2 linked regions of the Astyanax mexicanus genome follow. The protein of the gene in region 1 purifies or fractionates together with the protein of each later gene. This does not show direct contact. Links are inferred from orthologs where the notes say so. Each region holds a gene or a part of one and is shown in the gene's direction. Other genes may lie near its edges. The genes, in order: flii and lrrfip2.

Evidence for each region.
Region 2: the proteins of flii (region 1) and lrrfip2 purify together in Homo sapiens (affinity purification with mass spectrometry; 3 studies listed by BioGRID and IntAct, with this or other methods). This does not show direct contact. The link is inferred for Astyanax mexicanus from reciprocal best matches to the Homo sapiens genes FLII and LRRFIP2.

Annotation. Positions count from the first base shown.
Region 1 is NC_064410.1:54,178,859-54,188,380, reverse strand, and holds the start of flii (protein flightless-1 homolog), read left to right. Parts: upstream 1-5,709; 5' UTR 5,710-5,776; coding exon 5,777-5,839; intron 5,840-7,384; coding exon 7,385-7,495; intron 7,496-8,021; coding exon 8,022-8,093; intron 8,094-8,191; coding exon 8,192-8,272; intron 8,273-9,218; coding exon 9,219-9,304; intron 9,305-9,409; coding exon 9,410-9,522. Other genes in the region: top3a (DNA topoisomerase 3-alpha), read left to right, coding at 5-151, 925-1,047, 1,552-2,294, 3,509-3,672. UniProt on the Homo sapiens protein: Is a regulator of actin polymerization, required for proper myofibril organization and regulation of the length of sarcomeric thin filaments. It also plays a role in the assembly of cardiomyocyte cell adhesion complexes.
Region 2 is NC_064414.1:2,210,739-2,220,042, forward strand, and holds the start of lrrfip2 (leucine-rich repeat flightless-interacting protein 2), read left to right. Parts: upstream 1-5,590; 5' UTR 5,591-5,839; intron 5,840-9,304. UniProt on the Homo sapiens protein: May function as activator of the canonical Wnt signaling pathway, in association with DVL3, upstream of CTNNB1/beta-catenin.

The DNA of each region.
Region 1 (9,522 bases):
TCAGATTGGATGAAGCACTGTCCAATTATTTGGGCCAGGCCCAGGAGTATACCGAGCAGGAGGAACAAGAATTAGAGATGCCTCTTCCAGTACGGAAGTGTCCGCAGTGCAACCGGGACATGGTTTTAAGAAAGAGGAAGGACAGCACAGGGTATGTATATATTAAAGGTAACGCATATCAGTATCAATCATTATAAAACGCTGAATCTGACATCCACATAAAGTAATTTGCCCCTGGGTTATAGGTTTAGTTATTACATTTTTGAGAATATTTTATTATTTATGAATTCCTCAGAACTAGGGCTGTGCGACAGGACAAAAGAATTGGTATTGAAGACAGAAAAATGTCTTTTGTTTAGTGTTGCGCTCTATTGTCTATATTGTTGCAAAATACAACAGCCTTTTTGTTGCCTGGGTGATGCGCCAAAGCTCCATACTGGTCTGTGGAAGTTCGGTGCGCAATTTCATTTAAGTTGAAAAGTAAAAGTGAAAAGTATAAAATGAGAAATATAATAAAATATGAAAACATACTTTTATTTGCTGAGCGTAATTCAGTATGTAATAAGTGTTTTGTGTGGTTAGCTGATTTAAAAAAAAAAAAGTTGATAAAAAAGGGCTTTGTCATGACCTATACCGTTATCACAATGTGGATTTTTGGTCAGATCACACAGCCCTACTTAGAATTTGTCAACAAAGTGAAAGTTATCCCTGCATAGTTTGAAGCATGCTACTTAAGCTCATTTTAAAGAACACTGAATTGCAGCCACTGCTTGGCGTATGGTGTAATCTCTGAAGCATGTTAATAGTGAGTGTTAGCACTTTGTAGGAAGATGTGAAGTTGAAATTCTGCTGAGGTGGTTGTTCTCTTTTTTGCTCTGTATGCTATTTCCTTTGTCATCACACTCTTTCACCGACTCTCTGCAGGAAGTTTCTGTCGTGTCTGGGCTACCCAGCCTGTAAGGCAGCAGTGTGGTTTCCAGATACAGTGCTGGAGGTCAGCAGAGATGACAGCGTCTGTCCAACGTGTCGCCCACATCCTGTCCACATGTAAGAAACATGACTAGTGTCTAAAATAATATCATGATATTTGAACACTTTTGCGATGTGAAAAAACACTACATTTCTACAGTATACTGCAGCAACAAAATTTAATGATAGTGTTTCTTAATGTAAAGTGTCATTTACACACAAACATTTGAAACACTCAGTAGAAACCAAAGTAAACAGTAGCAACTTAGCAAGAATTATTTTGTATAAAATATTAATAGTGTAAAAATAAATTATGTAACATAATATTAATAATAATAATGTTAGTAAAAAATTAATACATTACTAAAGTGTATTAGTAACAGTATATTTTGTGCATGCAAAGAAAATAGAGACTGCTTTTAAGACAAAATATCATTGTTATCGCAAATATAAAGAAAAAACAATAATATTGGTACAATATGAAATTGCACACTCATAGTGTAAAATACTTACTTTTTTATGATTCTCCCAAATAAAAATAAGGTGAAATCACCCAAAGTGGCTTTTTAAAATATTTTCCAGGCTGAAGTTCAAGTTCAAGAGGGGAAGTCTTCCTCCAGGGATGGATCTCGAGTTTGTCGGCTGCATCGGTGGCTGTGATGAGACCCTAAGAGAGGTTTTGAATCTGAAGTATCTCCGTGGAGGCGGCAGTGGAGGAGATTCTGGCATTCAAGTTATTCAACGTACAGCTTCACGTCAACCAAATGCACCTAGAAACAATAATACAGCACTTCAGTCCAGGTCTGAGAACAGACCTCCACCTCCCAGACCCAGCGCAGACAGTAGCAGACCCCCACTGACCAATCCCGCACAGTCAAGGCCCATGCAGCTGCCGTCTTCTGACCAGAGCAATGCTGTGGTGTGTAACTGTGGAGTGGACGCGCTTCTCCTCACAGTTCGGAAAGAGGGTCCCAACCAAGGCCGTCAGTTCTACAAGTGCAATACGGGGAACTGTAAGTTCTTCCTGTGGGCGGATGAGTCGGCTGAGCAGCACGGGTCAGCAGGGAGCAGAGGACCAGCTGGTCAAAGTTTTCAACCTTCAAGACCTTCTGTTGGATTTGGAAATGGGCCTCAGGAGAGGCATGGCAGCAGAGGAGCAGCAGGAGATACAGGAGGAGAGGCGATGTGTAACTGTAACGAACCTGCTGTCCAAAGAACCGTCATGAAAGATGGGCCAAACAAGGGAAGAGCGTTCCATACCTGCGGGAAACCACGGGATCAGCAGTGTGGCTTCTTTCAATGGGCGGATGAAAACGTGCCTCCAGGTACTAGGATTAAATGACAAGGAGATATTCATGTGTACAGCATAATATTGTTAATGTTCACTAAAATCAATTCTAAAAACCTATTCTGATGCAACTTAAGGGTGTTCTCACACCTGTAAGTCTTTGATATATGTTTATTATTTTATATTAGTTTAGTCCAGTTAGTTTTGGTTTCACACTGCAGCACTAATAAGCACGATAAAAACTTTGCTACATCCTGTTATCCCCACTTACCTGTGCTGCATTTATTTATACTTAACAGTTATAATGCTGTCCATTCAGTAAGTAATGCTGTCTATTATAATTCTGCCTCCCAGCCAAAATCGGTCCCCTTCAAGCACATACACTTCACTCATCAGAATAACCGTAAAAAAGTAACCCTCAGTTTCCTTTTTTCTGTTTATAATTAAGGGATAATATAAGTTAGATGAAGGAGTCACCTGTGCAGCCTGTTGCACACTAAACTGATTTTTCCTGATCTATTGCTCAATAGCCTTCCTCAAATTTGTGTAATTGGTCCAAACATCTAAATAACCTAGAAAAGTTATTTTGCGCTGCAGATCAATTAAAACATGGTTAAATTGAATCGGACTGAGGCCTCTCTTTTGGTCAGATCTAATTTTGGTTCTTTGAAGCCACAAACCACAATTGACCAAAATTTGTCTGGATTTGTCAGTAAGAAAACAATATTTTGGATAGTTTTATTTTTTTGGACCAATTACAAGAAGTTGTTGGCTATTGACATGCATTAAACAATAGAAGAAGAAAAAGTCTGAAATCTCATTCTGAAATTACCCTGGCGATATCTGTATCTACTGTAAATATATATTAAACCTAATTTATAAGCAGAATTAAAAAAGGAATCGGAGGGTAAACTGTTTTTTTCATTCCAGGGAGGGAGGTACAATTTGGCACAACACCTTAAAGTCAACTGCAGTTTTACTCCTACATACTGAAGAGTGTCAAGTATAAGTGTACCCAGCCTGCATAGGGGATGACGGAAGAATGTCCATAAGTGTGCTTATTAAACTGCAGTGTGAAAGCAAAACTAACCTAACCAAAATGTTACAATTTGATAACCAGGACAATCTTGATTCAGACTTTGGTCCATATTTATAGTACTGAAAACTTCCAGTGAGGAACACACAGTAACACAGTGATTAAACTGCATTTACATACTGTTCCATATTTAATGTATTTTTAATTTTTCTTAGCTGCTGTAAGAAGCACAACAGGTGGAGGAGACAACAGTACGTGGAATGGCAGTAAGAAGACTGGAGTTTCTTCAAGTAAAGCTCCTGCTGCCAAAAGGCCGAGGACTTGTGGAATTTGTCATCAGCCAGGCCACACACGGACCACCTGTCCACAGGGCCGGTGAGACAGAAGCAGTCTGTCCACTGAGTCACTAATGTTTGTAAATTTATCTTTGTTTTAAAACTTTTACAGAATAAAATATAAAATTTACAAAGTAATTGCTGTCATCAATTGTATAACGGAATTATTTTATTACAGTAAATGTAAATAGAAAAAAAATGGTTAACCGCATGTTCGTTTTGTGTTTTTAACCAGATTTACCAACCTGAACCAAACTGGGATAATTTCAAACATATTGATATATTAAAGGTGTAAAACAGCCCCAGAATCACTGTGTTCATTCTATTGACTTTTATTTTAATAACAGAGAGGGGAGAGAAAAAGAGTTTACTTCCAAATTTAAAAACAATACCATTTCACTGGGTAATGTAATTTTATTTTTTTTATATATTTTTTTTATTGTTAATTTTCCAAAAAAAGGTCTTTATTTATTCTTTTATTCATTTATTTATCGATCAATTGTTTGATTGTGAAGGAAAGTAAGCAGGTACACAATACAGTACAGTAATACAAAAAGTGCAAGAATATATACAAGAAAATCTACAATTACACACTCATCATTATACACGATAAATAGAAAAACGAAGTATGCACTCGTCCAATCTGCTACAGGAAAATTGCCTTATGCACTTACACTCAGGGTTTCATCTTGCTTCTACTTTTTAGTTGTTTATGTGTTTGTTTTATCTTGATATATATTAATAAAACTATTATTCTTTATTTTAATTTTTTTTTATCTTACATAATAATTGCTTTTTGGAGTGAAACTGGGAAAACTTTTCAAATACAAAATGTATAAGGAAGTGACCAATTGTTTTGTCTCCAAGAGTTCTGTAAAATGAAAATAGAGATGTGTCAAATTGCATAATAGTTGTCATCAGCAATAATAAACCTTTGGGGACAAGCCTAGCATGCTTCACAGTTTTATTATCGCTGTTTATTAAAAGTTTTGAATTAAAGCTGATGTTCGTACATTTCAGGATTTAGGGCCCACTCTGGTAAAAAGTGGATAATTGCACTGAGTATGCAGAAAAATCATTTTCAACTGGAAGGGTGTTATGCGGTCTCCTTCCAGAGCGGATGAATCCGATTCCAGGTTATGTTCAGTCAGAGAGAGAGCGCTCAGTCAGAAACTTTCCTTCACCTACACACTTTACTTTTACTATGGGTGAATGAGGTCCTGAGCTCTGAGTTTCCTCTTCTGGAGTCTCCATTGCTCCACCAGCTGCTTGCGTTCAGTAAAACAGAGCCGGATCCTCTTTCAGAGGCTGTACATGTGCAGTAAGTAGGTAAAGACGGGTGATGTGGCCAGAAGAACTCCCGCAAAAAGCAAGCTGACAGGGACGGACATTCCAGCACACTGGTCATGTTGCCATTAAACACAATATTGTGTTCCTTCTCCACTCAGAAATGCTTCTGCTTTCAGTATAGAAACATAATAATACAGACTGCCACTTTAAAAAGGAAGAGAAAATATGATCTGTTTGGTTATAAACACTGCAAAAGTTTATAAATTTACAAAAGTTCCATTGCTGCTCTGTTTGTAGCTTTGCTGTTTGGCTTGTAAGCGCTGCATTGTTGCTAGGTTACCTGTATGTTGTGGAGTAATATTACATAAAGAGCTTTGGTTACAGTGCATTGCCAGCTGATAACGGCACTCATAGAACATCTCTCAGCCAATCACATTGCAGGGTCAGAACTATCTGCGGTATAATATATGATAGATCATCATTATAAAGAAAATCATAATATCAGAAGTACTTACGTTTTTTTTACTTAAAGATTGGAGAAGTGAATTAAACTCAGTTAAACAGACAAGAAAGCTCTGTTTTGCGTCTGAAATTTATTGTTTGTGAATAAAATATTTTGCAAGTAGGAATGTGATTTTAATCTCACATTCCTAGATAAGACTGAGTGAAGTCAGTGTGGGTTGAACCAAGTTAACTTAGGGAGGGTGGGGCTGCTCACTCACCGGCTGCTGCTGCTGCTGCTGTGGTCACACACACACACACACACACACACACTCCCTCCCTTCTTCACACACACACACACACACACACTCAGTCACTCAGCCAGAAATAGGCTGACTGCTACATCCTGAATTAGAAATGGCTGCCACCGGAGTTCTCCCCTTTATCAGGGGAGTAGACTTGAGTGGAAACGATTTTAAAGTAAGTGTGGAGCTTAATTATTATCATACAGACTTATTTATTTAATTATTTATTTTAATATTTTGTTTAAAAGTGGATTTTTTTAGATGATATCTGTTAAAACACTCCTTAGCCAACAGTATACAAGTCACTGGGCGTTAGCTAGCTAGCGTTAGCTTTAGCCGACACCAGCTGCCTGTCAGTGCGAGTATAGAGAAGTAGCGTTAGCTAGTTAGCTTAGCTAACATAGATTGTAAAGCTGGATAGCTAAAATGATAACTTGTCAAATAATGACGTTTAGCTGTTCATATATTTATATAGGGAGCTGTCCTATGCTTATGCGGTAACTTGCTACCTACGTAGTTAAATGTCTAGTTATATACTCTAGGCTTAGCTTAGCTGCCTGTAGCTAGGTTACGTTAGCTAAGCTAGCTAGCTGGCAAACAGCGTAGCTTAACATAACTAACAAGTTGCTTCATGTCTTCATTACACTGAACACATTAAGTATATATTTAGTAACCTATTTTATCCTAAATTCAAATGTTTTATTATTTTCCAAGCCCATGAAACAGCTGACAACGCTCCCCTGCGTCCTTGTTGACTACAATTAACGTTAACCACACGCAGCTGTCAAGCTGTTGTTAAGAGACAAGCTAAACTAGCTAGCTAGCTAGCTAACTACTGTTCTTCCATTTCTCCCAATGATAATTTTATTCATGTTCATATGTATTGTATATTGTTTATATATATATATATATATATATATATATATATATATATATATATATATATATATATATATATATATATAACTGTGCTTAATAAAGCTGTTAAACAAAAGCTTTGTCATGAAGACATACCAAGTGCCAACCTTTAGACTTCTTATAACATATTTTAGCAGATACGTATGTTGTGATTTTTGTACAATCCCAGTCAAACGTTTAGGAAACACCATTTTTCTTAATCAATGTGTGTTCTTTTCTTTTATTATTTTTATTGCATTGTACATTAAATATTGAATACATCAAAGCTGTACAAGAGCACAAAAAGGGTTAAACCAGAATATGTTTTATACTTTAGATACTTCTTAGATTCTTCTAAGCTTTGAGGACAGATCTGCACACTCTTGGTATTTTAATATCAGTGTCTTTAGGAGGTAGAATCACCTGGAATTGTTTTCTCAGCATCTTAAAGGAGTTTCTGGAGATGCTGACCAATAGTTGCTGCTTTTTCTTCACGCTGTGAAACTTCAGTTCATCCCATATCACCATCTCAGTTGATCAGGGGATTGTTGAAGACAAATACTTATTTTACTTGTTCACATATTCCAGGTGTCCCTAAATTGTTTTTATATCTGTAATATTAATCTACAATATAGAAAATAAATTAAATAAATTAAATAAAGGAAACATTGAATGAGAATTGATGTGTCCAAACGTTTGGACGTTTGTCCAGAAGTACTGTGTGTGCCAGCAATAAATGTGTCAAGTGTGCTTTGGTCTAGAGGTGATGACTAATAAGCAGGAGCTGTCATGGTTGTCATCATTTTTTGTCATATTTCTCTAGGGGGGCTACTTTCCAGAACATGTAAAATCCATGACCAGCCTCCGATGGCTCAAACTCAACAGAACTGGGCTTTGTTATCTTCCAGAAGAGCTGTCCTCGCTCCAGAAACTGGTAAGGATTTCTTGATTTTCTTGATTTCCTGTGTGGATTGAATACATGTTTTATCTTACATTCCACCCTGCAAAAACAAACTTCAACAAAGAATTAAACAAAATTCATGACCTCAACCATATGTTTATATATGTTCTTGACAGCCTTCACTTTGCTTACCTAAAGTAGAGAAGGCAAACTATTATAATGACCATTAGAAATCTCTGTGTCACAATCTCAGTACGTATATCACACACTTGCTTTGTATAGTGTGTGCTGTGCCCAGCAAATAATATCCTGACTTCTGTGATATTGGATATAATTTACAGGTGTCTGGGAGGCAATATTAGTATGTTTGCAATTTATTTTACAACCCAAGCAATTTTCAATGTCTGTATGTTAAATAGATTAAAAAATTATGTGTGTTTCTGTAGGCAGAGTTTCATTAAAATATCACAAATACTCCACTACCTAAGGACACATAATATGCCACTTTGACCATCAATTTCCATGGACTCTTTTTCTGTTTTTTAATGTTTGAAAACAGGAGCATTTGTCAGTGAGTCACAACAGTCTTACGACGCTACATGGAGAGCTGTCAAGCCTTCCAAACCTGAGGGTAAGTCACAGTGCAGTAATAGAGAATATGCTTTATTCTTACGTATGAGTTTCTGGTTATGTGTTTGTAGTAATCAAACATGTTAATCCTTTGTTTAGGCAGTTGTAGCCAGAGCGAATAACCTTAAGAACTCTGGAGTTCCAGATGATATCTTTCAGTTGGATGACCTCTCAGTATTGGTATGTTTTTTTTTTGTTTTTTTTTACTCTTTCAAGCTTCTCTTGAGTTACTTTTAAAATTAAAAATTATAATAGAGGGGTTGTTTTCCCTTTGCCACAGTAACAGCCGCTTATCCTCCGCAAAGGCCTTAAATATTAGATTTTCAGTTACATTGCTGTGCAGATGTGATGTCATTCAGCCATGAGAGCATTAGTGAGATAATGTCCTAATTATAGATGATGAATTATAGATCAAAAAATATCACTCAGACTTATCTCAGTCTTATTGAGCTCCAGCAATCTAGAGAAGTCTGTTCTACTGCTGCAGAGCCTAAAGCTGCAGGGCTTCATGACCCCTCTACCTACTGGATGGCATTGGGCTTGGTGTTGTACTTATGCATGGTGGCTCTAGATTGGTTTGTTTTGTTGTTATTACCCCTTAATTGAAATTACACAAGTTGTACATGTGCAGAGATTTACTGTACAATATAACAGAAAAAAATTGATGAGACAATATTACCATTGTTTTTCTAATAATGAATGTCACCCGAACTTAGTTAAGATAGTTAAGATATTTCGTTCATGAGACCTATAAACATAGACAAAAATTAAGCATTTTAAAAATAGTTGAAACATAATTGTTTGCCATTTTGATCTGAAAAACTTGCAGCTTTCAAACTATTATATTATACATATATCATTGGCATAAAATGCTCCTAAAATTATCATAGCGTCAACTTTCACAATTATTAGGATTTTTAATATTTCTGGGATAAAATACTATAAGAAATATGTACTTATTGAGACTTGTTTATGTGACAGTAATGGGTGCACCATAAAATAGTGGAACTGACTCATTAAAAAGAGTGTATGGACGTGTTTGTACTTGTATCATGTCCACAAGGAGATTTTGGCTGATTTCTCAGTAAAGGGAGAAGTTAAACCTCACATATATCTCATTTTTTAGGATCTGAGCTTCAACCAACTATCTGAAATTCCAAGGGACTTGGAGAATTCCAGAAATATGCTGGTCCTTAACCTCAGCCATAACAGGTAAAGCTCTATCTATGTGTGGTAGAGTGTATGTTACATAGTTTGTGTCAGTGGTCTGAGTCTCCTGGTGGTGCCTTATTTGTCCTGTTCTGTGTTCTGTTCCAGCATTGATAACATACCAAATCAGCTGTTCATTAACTTAACTGATCTGCTGTACCTGGACCTGAGTGACAATAAGCTGGATAGCCTGCCCCCACAGATGAGACGCCTGGTCCACT
Region 2 (9,304 bases), on another chromosome or scaffold:
AAAAGTGTAAAAAGTTTCCTTCCGGTCATTTTGGATAATTTCTTTTGGTTCGTTCTTTAAGACATTTCTGACAGTTTGTGTGTTTAAACTATGTAGTAAACTAAAAATCTACAAAATTGAGATACTTGAGATAATTGAGATCCTTATTGGACAGCATATGAATATGAAATTTGGTTTAATATGGTTATAAACAGTATATTTTATATTATTCTTTTATTTTTTGAAAAAGCACATGGTCTTTTTTAGTCAGCCCATTATATTTCAATAAGAGGGCAAATAAATAACTAGGATTTTTTAGGGTCTTTAGAAAGAGAGCAGGTGCGATTAATTATTTAATTATATAAACTGACGTTGGTTAATCTGAACATCATGTTAATATATGTTATTAATAAGAATAGTAAAATACGTCTTACAGACTAAAAGAACTATTCTTCCTTTTGAACGTTAGTTAAATTAAGAAGCTACCAATCTGTCACTAAACAAAATGCATTTACTTATACCTGGTACAAATACAGCACTAACTTTTGCATTTAAATAAACCATTCTTTGTTTTATCTATTTATCATGTAAGCTAGTTTTAGTAGTTTTCACAGATAATGTTAATTAAACTAAGTTAGAACCTGAGTAATAATAACAGACGCAGCTAACGCTGGTTAGCTAAATAAGCTAACCTTTAGTTTTGAGGTGATTTTGACTCGCTGGACGCAGAGAAAAGCTTTAAACCTCAGTGAAACACAGTAATCCTGATTATCATATAAATAAACAGAGTAATTACCGGTTAAACAGCAGATTTCTCCCAGTCAGAGAGCGAACAGCACAGTCCCCATAACACGCTGTGACTCTCCACAGCTTCCACCAATGTCAACCCTCTACCGGAACTGTCCGCCGATTTCAAAATAAGAGTTCATACCCAAAAATAAAGATAAAAAGATTGTATTACAAAGTGATTAAAATTATATAAATAAATAACAATTAAGAACAATCATAGTAGTGTTTATGAGTTCAAATGATTTATATATACCTGAAAGGATATAAGTGGAAAAATTTAATAAATCATGTAAAAACAAATGTGTTGCCTTACGACTTACGGCTTGGAAACGAGATAATTAAGATAAATAAGGTGTGTGAATGAGATAATTAAGTCGTAGCCAGATATTAATAATGCAATAGTGTAATCTAGTTCCCACATATTAGGATCTCTTTTCCACGGCTTAATTATGAGTTCTTTTTTACATGATAATTTGAGGGGAAAGAAAATTAGGTGACCCTCTTATCAGGATCTTTTTCCACCTATTTAAAATCCCATTTCATTTTCCAACTAGTATCCTTTTGGGGACATTTTTGTTAAGCTTAAATATTCGTATATTGCGTAAAAAGAGTTTAATAATTAGTAAAATGTTTCAAATCACTGTCTGGAAAAATGACATGGGATTACAGGGGTGAAATAAAAATACTGCGTGTTAAATAACTCGACTCAAGAATGTCAATAATTAACTAATTCGATTTATAAAAATCTCAGGTGTGTTTTTGCCAGCTGCATTACCTGCTCTGGACTTTAGATGGCACCAATACGCCATTTACTATTATCACTATTATTCACTACTATACTCAGACCAGAGTACCATTTAAAACGTGTATTAAAACGGTGCTTGACAGCCTGTCTGTAGCATAAACAGCTGACCTTATTTATATGAGACATACTCATTTTTTTGTACCTCTGAGAATAAAAAAATAAATGGAGACTATATCACTATATCATCATTGGAAGTGTGGGAAATTAGTTTTTAAAAACATTTTCTCAGTCACATTTACAAGCAAGTGGCACACTCAGTTATATACAGTATATACACTGATACAATCAACACACGCTCTTCTCCAACTCCAGTCATTAGTGTGTTACAGTTGTGTGTTTTTAATAATTTATGAATTACTGGGACTGTAACAGAGCTACAGAGAATATGGTGCCCCCCACAACCAAAGTTTGTTGATGTAGCACCACCGATTTTCCTAAACCAGTAATTATTATTGATCAGTAATCAGCAGTATTGTGACTGGAGGTCTATGTGGTGCTTCCTTAGTTCTGGAGGGATCTGGGTGTTTTTCAATTCCAAGAATGTAAAGAATGGATTGAAGGAACTGAAGAAAATTCTTGCCAAGTTACCTTACAAGAATGAACTCGTTAAAAAATGGAGGACACACCTATAAGGGTTTGAGGTGTTAATGCTCCAAAGCAAACATTTCGACAACCGAAGCGCCTCTTCTTTCTTCAGAAAGTATATACAGTCCTGTAAATGATAAATATAGTATAAGAACTCACAAGAACAAGAAGAAGGGTCTGTTATGTATGCCATGCACAAGATCATACAGAAACATATGCGGCCTTCAGGAGGTTTGCCTTCCAGCACTGGGGTCCTGGGTTCATCTGGATGGAGTTTCCATGTTGATTAAAATAAGATTGGTATACTCCAAATTGTTATGGTGTGTATATGTATGGAGTCATAATTATGAATGTATGTATGTATGTATGACTTTATACCCAGATATGTCCTGGTTCAGCCCCTCAGTGCAGAGTGCAGTCCTCCAGGTGGACTGTTGTTTCTGGTTGAGAGTATGCTGTGCGTGATTGGCTACCGCTTCCCACTGGTGTTAATGAGTGTAAATGATTGTATGTACCATGTAATTGTAAGCATCCTTTCGGTGCCTATAGAGGCAAAAAGGTGCTATGTAAGTGTGCAAGTAAGTGAGTAGTAAATGTTTTTTAAGGGACGTTCATGCATTTTTCAACAAGTCATTAATAAACCACATGCTGCACACATTACAGGAGCATGGCTGTGAAAGAACAGGGTATGGGTATTGGACTGGCCTGCCTGCAGTTTGCATTTTTCATACTGTTGCATACTGTCTATAGAACCATGGTAACATGAAAATGACTTTAGCTTTGTTTATCTCAATCTGGATCCACATACTGCATTGATCCTAAATAGGAATATGAGTGAAACCCACACAGTCCAGAAGGATCAGTTACAGAGTCAGCTGAGAGTACTATTACAGGGTTAAGCCCCTCCTGTTCTGACAGAACTTTTCTATTAAAGACTGATTTGCTAGTGTTCCCTGACAACTGTGATCTAATAGTTAGACATGCCGGCCCTCTACAGATTACCTACAGTATGCATGATTACAGTACAAGTGCACTGTCATAGTTTATAAACACTTTGTGACAATTTCTTGACATAATGTTGTCCCGTGACTTTTGGAATGCACTAATCTGAATATAGGGCACATTTGGGTTCCTTCTGATTTGTGGGACATTGTAGAACATAGAAACACAAACTGTTCTCTACTACACAAAACATCCTACTTTTGTCTCAATAAATAAATACTAACGTTTTTCAGAATAAAATATTTAGCTTTTTTTTATGTTTTTTTTCTAAATCATCTGATTTAGAAAAAATAAGAGAGGAAACAACTACTTTCTTACAAAGCTGCTGGTCAGATCTTCCTTCCAGTTAAAATTAAATATTATATTTGACTGCCATTTGTAATATAAATCTGATTCTTCCTTTAACTTATATTGTGTGTTTTGAGAGTTTTTTTTTTAACTTTGGGGTCAGCAGAGGAAAATTTCAAGTCCCTTTAGTTTCCTCAGCACTTACAGAGATGTCACCAGTTGAGCAACTGGCACACTCAGCACGGCTAAAGCATGAATATCAACCCAGGAACAAAATTACGGGCTGTCAGCTCCCAACCGGAAGACTAACTATCTATAAAGAAGGATGGCCAGTCAGCACCTTTCAGTGGAAGACCCCAGCCTGGGGAGGGGGCAGTAATGAGGTCACTAGGGCACTCCAAATGAAGGATTCATTATTGGTGCTGAAGCATGGTGACTTCACGAGTTCAGCATCCAGAGACAAATACAGTGGGGCAAATGTTGTGTGGTTTAACAGAGTTTACACTCTGTTGATTTCTCTTTCACTTCTGCATGTCTTCACACACCTCCCTGATGTTCTACATGTGTTAAAACACATAAACAACATCCATATATACGTCACCTTGCCACCGTCACCTTAGTTTGTGAGAAACCTGGACTATAGATTGGAACTGTACTATACTGTTTTAAAAATGTATAACAATACAAGTTTGTAAAAATGTCTATCTTTAGCTGCCATTTAAAACTGATGCCATTGTTTAGTGTCATTTGGCAAACTGTTCCATGTAATTGAAGCATTCTTAATATAATTTATTATTTATTTTTTCATGATTTATTTTTATGATTTATGATATAATGTATTATTTTTATGACACCCAGTAGTCAAAAAAAAAAAAATACATCATGCTGCTCGCCATCAGCTGCCGGAGTCAGAGAGAGCACAGTTGGTCATGTTCTATCTGTGTACAGTAGATGGCGCTCTCTCCCCACAGCACTCCCATTCTGTCTGTTACAAGGTAACGTATCGGAGGAGGCGTGTGCTAATAATAGGCATTGCTATTATTAGTGGGAGTGCAGCTGAGTGGGTGGGGTAATCTGCATAGGTAAATTGGGAAGAATGTGAGAAAAAAATCTATAATATATTATTATTATTATTATTATTATTATTTATTTATTATTAGCAGTAGTAGTTTATATTTTATGTTTAGGTTTATTAATGTGTTGATGCCCTTTTTTGTTGTGGTGTCCAACTCAGCATCCGTTCTCTTATCACTCCGGGGACATTAGTTCCCACAGAAAGCAGAATGAACACACACACACACACACACACACACACACACACACACACTTCCGGACAAACGGGGTATCTTTCCCTGGCATCTGAGACAGAGAGACTGACTGGGTGAGGAAGGAGGAGGATCTCCTGCACAGACATGTTCAGCTGCTCCTGCACCTCCACAAAGTCCTACTGAGTCCCAGTAAAACCAGCGAGATCCTGCATACTGGGAGAGGAAGGAGCTGAGAGAATAAAGATAAATAAAGAGAGGGATACAGATCCACCCATTCATGCTTTTTTTATATTGTTAAAATGAGGTTTTATCCTAGCCCTAACCATTCTCAGGGAGATTGGTACAGCACTGCAGTCTAAGTCTTACTCTAGAGAAAGAGAGGGGAGTTTCTTTTGGGAGAGAGACAAAGAAGAGGGAGAGAAATAAAGAGAAAGGGAGAAAGGGAAGAAAGAGAGAGAGGAGAGAGAGAGAAAAAGAGAGAAGAGAGAAATACATAAATAGACAGGAGTTTGTTTCTTTTGGGAGGGAGAAAAAAGAAAGAGAAAGAAAAAATGTGCATATTGTGCATATTGAGAAAATGACTGACGTCAGCCATACAGACCGATAGGAAGAAAGAGATATAAAGAGATAGAGAAACAGATTGAAAGAAAGAGAGAAAAAGAAAGAGACAGAAAGAGAGGTGAGAGTGAAATAGACAGAAAGAAAGAAAAAAGAAAGAGAGGAATGGAGAGAAAGAAAGAGAACTTTGAAGAAAGAGATAAATAGAAAAAATAAGGAGAGGAGAAATAGAGATAGATAGAAAGAAAGAGAGAGGGAAAGAGAAAGAAACAGCAGTTTCTTTTGGGAGTCTGACGCGACCAGCAGTGTCAGTTTCTGCTGTCCGTCAAACACACACACACACACACCCTCTCCCATACCACACACACTGCTGCTGGAGCGAACAGGCCAGCAGTAGCTCCGGTTAGCAGCAGCAGCAGCTCGGTATAGCGGTGTGTTTGGAGCGGCGCTGGGTTGACCCGCTGTGGCCGCGGCGGCGGCGCTCTTTGTGGGATCTGGGGTGACTTTGCGCTTTTTAGGAGCGCTGTGGACCGAACCACGCGATCCGGCGGGAATCGGAGAAAAGGTAAATCCTCTAGTTTTAATCAGTGAAGCAGCTAAAAGACTGAGTCCTGTTCCTGAATGGATTTAGGGCGGCATGGAAAACCTAATCTAACCCAGCGCTGCTTCATTTTCTTCCTTAGCCTAGCCTTAGCCGGCTAGCTCTATTTATATTCCAGCTGCTGTGCTAAGCTAAGCTAGCTAACTAGGATAGCTCCCGGTGTACCAGCCGGAGATTCGGCTAATAGCGCTTAAAAACTCCCCCGGCTGACAGTGCGGGGAGCGGGCGTGTTGTTTCAGTTCGGGCCGGGCGGTTTGGGCTTGCGGTTCAGGCTGAGTCGGGCCGTGTGCTGGAGTTTCTCCTCCAGGGTTTCAGGGAGAGCTGCCCGCTTTTCCGAGCGCGGTGTTGTGTCTAGTTGTGCTACCCTGTCAAACCGTGCTACAATAGGGTGCATTTTACTGTACAAATACAAAAAAGGACTATATTAGATTATGTTACCAATAGAAGTCCCAGTAGATGTGGGTTGGTATAATTGGATATAATAAGTTATAAAAATATACATATATTTAAATAATAATTGTTATTGTATTAATTAATATTAATTAGTTATTAGTTAATATCATTTCATTTTACACTTTTGTGCAATGACAGTGTGAGTCCAGGCTGTTTAAAGCACAAAAAAGCCCCCAAAACAGATTTATTATTTAAAGAAACACAAGAAATTATTAGAAAGTATTGGTCAGCGCATGCGCAGTACTTTTAGAAAGCACGTATCGGAAGGTAGCAGAATTCGACAGAACACTGGTCCCAGTGAAGCTCCAGAAATGCTAGCGGGCTATATTTAGCGCGCCTCTCGCTCGCGCTCTGATAGCTAACGCTAACCGCTCGCTTCTGACATGTCAAAAATTTAGCTAAGCTAAGCTAAGCTATGAGTGTGTGTTTAAAAAAGTGATTAAATACCTAAATTACACATTACAACATATTTATTTAGAGTTTTACGATTAAACTGAACCCTCTGATTAAACCAGAACCGTTAAAGTTTTCTTTTAAAGTATCTTTTAGAGGTTTTTATTGTTTTTAGCTGTCTATAGTCGGTAAAAAAGCCCCACCTCACATTAAGACAGCAGTTAACGCTAAACTAGCTTTAACTCGTTTTATATATCAAGTGTACAGATATTTTACACTTTTACAGATATTTCAGAAGCTGAAATGTTTGCATTTGTGGCTAAACTTAAAATTTATAATCATGTAATCTATATATATTCTCTTACAGAAGCATTTAGTTAGGAATAACTTTCAAAAACAAGACTATAGAGTGCATAATTTATAATATTATTATTATTGTAACAAAACAAACTGTAAACTGTATAGTTACATGGCTAAGTTGTGAAAAGTGTGGGCTGCAATAAAAAATAATTTTACACTAATGAAGAAATACAGCCCAAGCCTAGAAACTGTACACACTTATACATGAATAAATATAATTTAAGCTGAACCCCATTATTTTATTTTACTTCATATATTCAGTTATAAAACTTTATTTTTTTTTTTTAGCTAAGGTAGTGTTAGCTGGTTCTGTGTTTAAATACCTAAATTACACATAAAACCATACTTATTTATCTAGCCTAATGTTTTTATTATTACATGGGCTCTGTGATTAATCAAATCTAGCAAAGTTTTCCCTTAAGGTGTCTAGTTAGCTTTTTTTTCTAGTTAGCTGTTAAATGCTAAGGGTATGGAAAAGGCTAAAAACGTTAATGCATCCCAAGTCAAGAAACTTAATATTTAGTTATTAAAGTATTTGCTGTTTTATTTCATATGTTTTTGGTTGTGTTTTAGATAAAATAGAATATTTCCCTATGAGGCGTTAGATTGCTCTTTCTCAGTTTTCACTGTCTACCTCAGGGTTAAGTTAATAATTGCAGAAAGCGATATTACTCTTATTTTAACAACCTTTTATGGTATCGATATAGCAATAATAAAAAAGCATAATACAGCATTTATGCCCTGTTATAGTTATTCGATATCTTAATTATTTAAATGTTTGTGTGTTTTTTTTGTTTTTTTAAACAAAGTTGACATAGTGACTCTTTCACATTTAATAGGCATTATTGAAGTTAACAAAATTTATTGAGGTTCAATTATTATATATTGTATGACAGGGTCTGTGTTTATAGTATTGCTGAATAATCTATGTTTTAGGTATTTATTTAACTGAATCTGTAATTCTGTAGAATAATGCACAATATTTCGCAGTGGTGGTAATGGAAACCAGTGGTTGTGATGTCCGTTACCACTTGGTTAACCATTTAATTGTCCGTAAACATTTAAAGTGCTGTAACACAGGCCAAATAATACCAACGTTTTGAAGGATGCCGTGTAGCTGTTGTCATATTTGTTTTTTGTCCCGTAATGCTGAACCTGGCGCCTGGCCGTAGCGAATGCCACACAGTTGATTAATTCTCTTACATATAGCAGCTCTCTCATCCAGAAAGACAGATGCCAGTAGCGGGCACCGGCCCCATGGACCAACTTCACTCAAGTGCTTCCAGAGAACAGCTGTAGCAGCGGGACGTTCTGTGCCCTGATAGACCTCCTGCACCACAGCAAGCTTTACTGTAGATAAGAGCCCTGCAGGACTAGGGCAGCACCAAAACAAAAAAGTTGTAAAGATGTTATATAAACTATGGGGCAGTTTCCCAATCAGGGATTATGCCTGGTATTGCAATAGACAGCATTTGAATAGAGATTTTCCATTGAAAGGAAAATATAATCTAGACCTTTGCTTAAAAAAAAGTCTTCCTTGAACAATGGAGACTCCACTAAAGCATTTGGTGCTGATACCAGCCTGATATCAGTATCCTCGTAGGCCCAATAAAATATCAGACTTTCAGTTTGGCCGAGGTAATTTGCCTGGTTGTATAAAAAGTTTGCTTATTAAAATACACCACCATGTCATACTGTATCATACAGTACAGTAGATGGAACAGTAAACAAATGTTGTTTTGGTTAGGTGGACCAAAATACAGGTAAAGTGAATTTCTGCACTACTGGGTAGACCTGCCTCTAATGTTCTGTACTGTGTAGAACGGGAATTGAAATGCCATCTTCCATATGGTAGCTCACTGCCAGGTGCTGGTACCCCTTGTTTTGGAGTGTAACTATTCCTCTTATAACAAAAGAGATTAGAGTACCTGTGTTTCAGTAAACATATCGATATTGGGCACCACGTATCAATAATATATCTCAATGAAAATCATGAACAAGATCACGATAACGATATTTTGTTCCACCCTTACATCATTTTCTACTGCATTTACTACTCTTTATGTGTTCTAATACTTTTGCTCCCTCCATATTTTGTTTATATATTTGTTTATTTGCTTTAATTTTAATACATTAAACAAGTAAGTAGTGATTTTAATAATGTGCTATCTGTGGGGGAAAAAAGCTTTGGGGGAGTTAGCCTAGTCATAGACTATATTTTAC